2 linked regions of the Schizosaccharomyces pombe genome follow. The protein of the gene in region 1 purifies or fractionates together with the protein of each later gene. This does not show direct contact. Each region holds a gene or a part of one and is shown on either strand. Other genes may lie near its edges. The genes, in order: dms1 and SPOM_SPBC16A3.12C.

Evidence for each region.
Region 2: the proteins of dms1 (region 1) and SPOM_SPBC16A3.12C purify together in Schizosaccharomyces pombe (affinity purification with mass spectrometry, with the first as the bait; one study listed by BioGRID). This does not show direct contact.

The regions. Positions count from the first base shown.
Region 1 is NC_003421.2:2,032,385-2,036,604, forward strand, and holds dms1 (protein Dms1), read right to left. Parts: upstream 2,015-4,220; 5' UTR 1,623-2,014; coding exon 1,548-1,622; exon of another isoform or gene 1,491-1,547; coding exon 1,213-1,490; exon of another isoform or gene 1,162-1,212; coding exon 966-1,161; exon of another isoform or gene 924-965; coding exon 648-923; 3' UTR 501-647; downstream 1-500. Other genes in the region: helicase Hrr1, read left to right, coding at 1-111, 154-306, 355-401; histone lysine methyltransferase Set5, read left to right, coding at 3,377-4,220.
Region 2 is NC_003423.3:4,273,583-4,277,888, reverse strand, and holds SPOM_SPBC16A3.12C (triglyceride lipase-cholesterol esterase), read right to left. Parts: upstream 2,655-4,306; 5' UTR 2,633-2,654; coding exon 2,601-2,632; intron 2,551-2,600; coding exon 2,127-2,550; intron 1,975-2,126; coding exon 1,587-1,974; intron 1,540-1,586; coding exon 1,190-1,539; intron 1,139-1,189; coding exon 1,001-1,138; 3' UTR 917-1,000; downstream 1-916. Other genes in the region: mitotic cohesin N-acetyltransferase/DNA polymerase eta Eso1 fusion protein, read left to right, coding at 1-916; meu7 (alpha-amylase 4), read left to right, coding at 3,224-4,306. UniProt on the Schizosaccharomyces pombe protein: Probable lipase.

The sequences.
Region 1 (4,220 bases):
GGGAAGAGAATGATGTCGTTCTTCTTTCTCTTGTGCGCAACAATGACCGGACAGAGGTCGGATTTCTTTCCTCCCCACATCGCGTTTGTGTTTCTTTATCTAGAGCTAGGAGTAAGTGAGATTTTATGAAAGGAATTATTAACATATTATCAGGAGGATTGTTTATATTTGGAAATGCGCAACTTGTTGCGGAGTCGAATCCCTTGTGGTGGGACGCAATAAATACCCTCATGAATGATGAAACAATACAAGGTCTAGGAGATCACCTACCTTTGTTTACCAAAGATGGTACAATTTATGTAAATGGTAAGAAAAGCAAGCAGTTTCAGTTTAATTTTCTGACTCACTCTGTAGATCCTGTTGAATTGCTTGACGTTAATATGCGATTGACAAGGAAATAATGAGGTTTTAATATATTTATACTTTTACTTAAATTTATAGGGTTTCTACTTTTTTTTACAAACTTTTGTCAATAGTCACATTTAATATATTGACAAGCATTAGAAGGGATTTAATGAAAATAATATTCACGAACTGAGTTCGACAAATAGCGCGATAAAGATACAACACGACAGGCTTTTCAATAGCTTAAAAATATCTAGAATTTGACACAGGATGATTTAAGTGAACAGCCGAAAGTATAACGATTATGATGGACGAGTTTTTGAGGATGTCGTTTTTGAAGAAGTATGAAGGAAGCAAAAGACAGATATAGCAATTAGGGCTATGACTGTTGCAAAAATAACTTGAACAGACAGGATTGTGGATAAAACATTCGACAGTAATGTCTTTGTAAAATTTTCACTTTTGTCTGAAGAACTTTGCAGAGTTGCTTCCGTCATTGTGTCAAATGGAGATTTGTCCGGGCGCTTTACAGATTCTTCATTTTGGATATAGCGTTCAACAAGTCGGGATTTAATAGACTGGTAGATTAGTAATTGACGAATCAGTTTTTTAGCTCTTACATCTTTCTTAGTAGATTGAACGGAGGTTAGACATGAATCGATTTTGGAGAAAGCCATCTCAAAAAAGGACTCCGTGGCAGCGAAATGAAACTTATTCTCCTCAAAGGCTGATACAAATGCATCCTTAGGGGAAGTAACGGTACGTACTTGCATTGAAGAAAATTTTGGATGTAAAATGATAGGCAAACTGGAACTTCTGTATCAACAGGGTTAGTACGTAAACGAAGATAAAGATACAATCACATACTCATCCTCGAAAACAGTGGAAATATCGTTTGTGCTTGAAGCCTCTAATTGCTGGTAGAGAACAGGATCCACTGAGGTAAGTAATGTAGGAGAAGTGATAGAAACGTTTACGAATGCTTCAATAAGATGACAAGCGTCCTGTTTCGATAAAAGGTGATTGGGATCATTCTCCACAAATTCCGAAGCCAACTTTCGGACTTCTTTTTTCATCCAAGGGTTTTTCGTAAACAGCTCACTATAATGAATGTCAAGGAGAGTGATAAGTTCGGAAATGGAAATCTGCAACCATTGTTAGAGAGGAAAACAAGATGCTTCTATAGAAATGATTTAACTTACCTTCGAATGGGATATCTTGGAGATCTGTCCAAACAACTCTTGGCTTTTCGTCAATTCATTAGGAACGGAATTCATACTGCAACAAGTGAAACTTAATAAATTTTCAAAAATAAATTTTGATTTGAAAGCAAATAGTTCTCGAAGGGATTGAATTTCTTCCGGCGAAAGGAGTTTAAAGAAATTTAATTTTAGATGCAAAAGAACAGTGAATCAGAACAAAAAAGGAAGTTAATAACTCGATTTCGCTTTAATAAATAAAAATATTATCATAAACACATTAAAAATTCTATCAATAGACCTTAACTATGTTTTTTATACAGAAAGGAGTATGCCGTCAGTCAAGTTGTAACTATATTATCATTTCCATAAGAAAACTTCTTGTTTTTCCTATTGATTGAAAAATTTACTAATTAAATAGTATCGTAAACTTCAAGTAAAATTCATCAACTAAGTCGTAAGGGACTAATGGTTGAAGATGAACGAAGACAATTTCATAAAAGTTATCGAAGTAACATGTGACTTGAGTTACCAAATTATTGAAAAGGGCATGTAGTAGTAAATATCAGAAAAAAAGTAGGTAAATAATAACAAATGTAGGCGAGTTAGAATAAGATTCGTTCTTTTTTATTATTCCTTTTTAATCAACAATTTGTTTTTTTTTATTGAACCGAAAATCATCGACGCCGAGTAAGAAAGAGTGAGATTATAATAATCCTTGACATGAAGAATTTTATAGTGAAAAAGTATCTCTGATCTTAAAACTTTCATTCATTTTGTCAAGGTCTGAAATGGGGCACATTGGTCAAGTTTCATTTTGTTCACCCTACGAAATACCTATGCACATAATTCACACATTGACAAGGTACGGAAATGCCGAATATTATAATAAATCAAATTATTTCTAGTTTACCCTTCAAATCCTAAATCTCAAAAACTCTGGTACAGTTTCTTTTAAGTGATTTAACTTACATTAACCGAAGTGACATTTACAATTTTCGTTTCAAACAATATCTACATATAAAGTACTGTGTTATGAAGAACTGGCCATAGCAAGATTTTGCTCTTGAGTTCAGTAATTCTCTAAGTTTTAGTATACCAATTCCACATGCATATCGAATAATGCGCATCCTTTTATTTCATTTTAGGTACTTTTTCATGATAGTTTGACATTTATTTTTTAAATCTAAAAAATAATAATAATAATGTAATGCAGAAGCTGTTTCAGGTATCAACATACCAATAAATTCTAGGATTTCAATCTAAGCTTAATCACAAACTTGCGATTATATTTTTTGGTAATGCTAAACCATCGTTTGAAGGATTTTTTAAACCATTTTAATTACGTGTTTTGATATCTTTGATACGGTAAGAAATGGAGCTTTTGTTTCGTCAATTGCCAATCTACATTTTTCTTGTACGAAGGATTTTATAAAAAAATATGATGACAAAGTTTATGATTAATTCAAGATCCTTGACAATAAAATATAAACAAATTGCTATAATTAATAATAAATTTAGGAATATATTTAAAATGCCATAACACTCTGAACATTTTGAAATTCGAATTATATTCCTTTTCTTTTTTTTTTTTTTTTGAAAATTGACAGATCTCTTGGGAAAAACAAATTGTGATATAACCAATTGGGGTTAAAAGTACAATAAAAGAAAAAGAAATATTGGAGTAAATAGTAAAGAACTATTTTCAGCTTTATCCATATATATTGGATTCTTTTTCTCTATTTTTTGCAGCGTATTTCGTAACCACCAAAATCTCCAAACTTTGAAAACTTTAAGCGTCCATGCGTTAATGTATTGCTTAATCGTACTACATGAACCCGTATGAAACAGAGATTTATAAAGTTGTCCCCATTCCTAACAAAGGAATGGGTATGATTGCAAAAGTAAAAATCCCCGTCGGTACAAGAATTTTTGCAGAAACGCCTTTGATAAGGACAAAAAGTGACGCTAAGGAAATCGAGGAAGCACTGTCTACAAAAACAAAAGAAGAACAGGAAGCTTTTCATAGACTTTTCAACGCTCATCCAGACACTATGGGACCATTCCTTGGGCCATTTTATTCCAATGCGCTGACCATTGATGAGACAAAGGGTGGAATGTTTTTACTTGGTTCTCGAATGAATCACGATTGTAGTCCTAACGTGAAACATACGTGGAATCCTAGACTTGATCAGGTTACGGTTCATGCTGTTCGCGACATCGAGGCTGGCGAGGAAATACTTACGACATATATAGACTTACATAAATCACATACGGAAAGACAAAAAATATTGCTCGAGCATTTTGGATTTAAATGTTATTGTAGTGTTTGCTCTGTAGAGGAACGAAAGATTAGGAAAATCAGCGATTTAAGGAGAAAGCAACTGGCCTACTATGACCGAACCATGGCAAAAATGTGTATAGTTAATCCAAGAGGTGCTCTAAGAGCATTGAGACATAGGATACACATTGCCCACGAAGAGCTTCTTTTCGGTCGGTTAGATATAATTGCACTTCTGGATGCCTTCCGATTATGTGTCATCCACGGTGATTTTGAGAGAGCCAGTATTTTTGCAAAAAAGGGGACTAAAGCAATTAGTTTGTATGAAGGAACTGATTCTGAAAAATATTTGAAAATTTCCAAGTATGTAGAGAACCCACGAAGTCATGCTCTTG
Region 2 (4,306 bases), on another chromosome or scaffold:
ACGCTATAATAACTTAGTACCGCCATCCCATGATAAACCTAAGCAAGTAAAGCCTAAAACATATGGAAGGAAAACCGGTAGCAAGCATTATGCACCTTTATCCGATGAAACAAACAACAAAAGAGCATTTTTGGACGCATTTTTAGGAAACGGTGGAAATCTGACACCAAATTGGAAAAAGCAAACGCCAAAAGCAATTTCCAACAGCTCAGACAACATGACCCAGTTACACTTAGATTTGGCTAATTCCACCGTAACTTGTTCAGAATGTTCTATGGAGTACAATTCAACGAGCGAAGAAGATATTTTGCTTCATTCTAGGTTTCATTCTCGGGTTCTAGGAGGTGTTACTGTGTCCTTTCAATGCTCTCCTATTTATCGCGTTAACTATGGTTTGAGTTCCGATTGCATATACAGCATAAATTCAGAAAGCTCATTAATTGATCAAAGAAAAGCAGAGGAAGCTTTATCTTTCGTAAATAACGAACTTTCAAGTGAGCCTATTGAAACAATTGGGGTAGATAAATATACCACATTTCTATTCATATCAGATAAGAAATGTGTCGGATTACTTCTGGCAGAGCGTATATCTTCTGCATACATAGTCGATGAACTTGAACTCAACAACAACAATAGCACCTCTTCCGCAGTATATATAAAAAACGAAAATCTACGAAAGGGGTTTGTATTGGGTATTTCCAGGATTTGGGTATCAGCTTCAAGACGCAAACAAGGGATAGCAAGTTTACTATTAGACAATGCTTTAAAAAAATTCATTTACGGTTACGTTATATCGCCTGCAGAAGTTGCTTTTAGTCAGCCTAGTGAAAGTGGTAAACAGTTCATTATTTCGTGGCATCGTTCTCGAAACAATGGTTCTTCGAAGTCACTTCGATATGCTGTTTATGAAAGTTGAAAATAGTCTGACAAAATTAAAGTTGTTCTAAATATCTATCTAAGCGTTATATAGAAGTTTTTTTTTTAAATTATTAATTAATCATTAATGAAAACCGTTTTGTTTAACGAAATGTTTGGCTTTGCCTAATGAATGATGCTTAAGGGCATCTATTACAACTGGGAACACTTCCTCTTTAACATCCTGGCCCCATAGAAAGTCAAGATGTTCATAATGAGCAATCTAACTTATATTAGCATATTGAGCAACAAACCTATAAAATAAAAGGCTTACCGAAACTTCCTTTGCATGGGGAGGAAGAGCAGTTCTCATTACTTCCATATTGATCAAAGTATCTTTACCTCCCCATAGTATCAGCATTGGGCATTTGATATTATTCGTAGGAAACAGAGGAACTTGGTAATGGCGTGAACCATATCCAGCTAGAAGAGCCATATCGTCGTCATAAAGCTGGAAAGTACAGTTTTTTATAATCTGAAGCCAGTGAACAACACTCTTTACACTTGAAAAAGAGTAAAGATGTGCATAACCGCAAAGTTTTTGATTAAGAGAAATGTTGGATAGGTCCCAGTTGAATAAAATTTTAAGGGATACATCGACAATTTTTACAAAAATTGGGGGATCTGTAGAGTAAGCAGATGAAGTTGAAATTTAAAAAAAAGAAACATACAACATATATTTTGCCAAAAAGTGACTGAAGGTAAAAGACAACGGCGCCCAAAAAGATGATACATAATTTTTGGATTAACTTTGACAATATAGTCAACGAAGTAATTTGAAAAGCCTTTGGGAGCATAAGCAGGCGCTAACCCTATGAAAATATTTACTTTGTCATTCAAATCCGGATTAATGCTAAGTGCAGCCATTGCTTGAGCAGTTCCTTGAGAAAAGCCAATATAGTTTAGTTTTTCTCTTCCTGTTTCCCTCAAGATGTAATCAACAGTATCGGGAATATCAAACATGGCCATATCATCTAACGAGAAGTTCCAAAATTCTTCGTCCTTCGGTTTGTAAGTAATGTGTTTCCTGCTATACTTGTTTCCTCGATTGTTGCCCAACTAAATGTATTGTTAGTCAACGCCAAATATATCCTACGAAAATCTAATGTAAACATTTGCCCTTCTCATATTTGTTAAATCAATAGCTTTTCTTTACGCGTCTTCAACAATAGCTCGGGATAGAGTCTTGATCTGGCAAGCAAATAACTTACCCAAACATCATATCCAGATTCAATTAAAACAAAAGGAAGACTTCTCTCGGATTCATTAACTGCAACCCATAATTCAGAATTTGTCATGAGCCCATGGTGACAATAAACTACTTCACGCTTATGTTGGCTTTGCTTAGGATGTGTAATTCTATGTAGACATAGTATAAAGTTGTCTTGAGTTCGCACAAGGTGTTCTTCAACCCGATACCCAAAGGCTTCGCATATTTCATAAATGTTTCGACACTTTTGAACCGCATCGGTCATTCCATCCGTAGTTTTAGAGCTTATGTAGTAATGATACAGAACAATTATACGTACACGAAACCATTCCCTGACTCGCTCAGGTATCATGTAAATAAATATTCGTGCTACTAATTCGGTATACACACCGACGAAAGCTGCAATTACGCCAACATAGTCTCCCCTTTTTCACGTTAAAAACAATGAATCTTTTGAAGAGGATTGTTTACGTACCAATATATTTGATTTTTATTGAATCCTGACATACTACCAAAAAATTCGATTGTTGGTAAAAAATAGGCTGATCAACAACAACACCATGGCATACGAAAATATGATTAATTTTACAAAACGTCAATATCAAATATAACTTGAATAAATCGACTTTGTTTCTTTTTCTTTACATCAATCAATAGCTTTAATCATTTATTTCAATGAATTGATCTAAATTTAAATACAAAACAAGTATTTTACATAAGGGTTGAACTACTCGTAAATAAACATTTTTAATTGTTATCCTTTTTATTTAACTTTCCTGATCTTAACAATGAGGCTGATCATTCTGCGGCATTATGCAGTGTTACCATTAAACTAATGTTGTGGTCGCACAATGCAAACATCCATACATAGTAATTTAAGTTACGGTTTATATTCAAAAATAGAATGTTTATTTACGCCGACATATCAAATCATGAATTTTATTTGTTTACAGAAATAAGCTTCCATATTATGAAATAGTTCGTTTATTTGTTTATCAAATATAGCTCTCTGAGCAGTCCTTTTGTTTACGCCTAAAAATACTATATATACTTGGCAAAAGTTCCCTGTATCTTCACCGGAACAACTCACTACACGAAATGAAATTGTCATTGAAGGATCTCGCATTGTCAATCATTCTCGTGTTGGGCGTTGCTCCCCCGGTCCAGGCATTATCTGCCGAGGAATGGAAAAAGCAATCCGTTTATAATGTTATGACCGATAGGTTTGCTACCAGCAAGGTCGTACCTCATTGCGATGTGAAAGCTGAAAAGTACTGTGGAGGAAATTGGCAAGGTATTGTTGATCATCTTGACTATATTCGAGATTTGGGTTTCACAGCGATTTCTATTTCTCCAGTCGTTGAACAACTTGAAGGCCCGGAATATCATGGGGAAGCCTACCACGGGCATAGACCTAAAAATTATTACCGTCTTAATCCTCACTTCGGGAACGAAGAGGACTTAAAAGAGCTTTCAGATGCTTTGCACGGCAAAGGCATGTATTTGATGGTAGATGTTGCCATAAATCACACAATTTCGGAATATTTTGAAGACGATTATTTCAAGAATACGTATTTCGATAAAACTCATATTGATCACAAATGCAAGGAACATTGCTCATGCCATCACGACAAGTTCCCTCGCCCAGTTCCTCACAATGGAACCAAGCCTGACCATAAACCCTGGAAGCACGAGGAACACTGCCATCACGGTAAGTTCCCTCGCCCAGTTCCTCATAATGGAACCAAGCCTGACCACAAGCCTTGGAAGCACGAGGAACACTGCTCATGCCATCATGATAAGTTCCCTCGTCCAGTTCCTCATAATGGAACCAAGCCTGACCATAAACCCTGGAAGCACGAGGAACACTGCTCATGCCATCATGATAAGTTCCCTCGTCCAGTTCCTCATAATGGAACCAAGCCTGATCATAAACCCTGGAAGCACGAGGAACACTGCCATCACGGTAAGTTTCCCCGTCCAATTCCTCACAATGGAACCAAGCCTGACCATAAACCCTGGAAGCACGAGGAACACTGCCATCACGGTAGGTTCCCTCGTCCAGTTCCCCACAATGGAACCAAGCCCGATCACAAGCCATGGAAGCACGAGGAACACTGCTCATGCCATCATGATAAGTTCTCTCGCCCAGTTCCTCATAATGGAACCAAGCCTGACCAC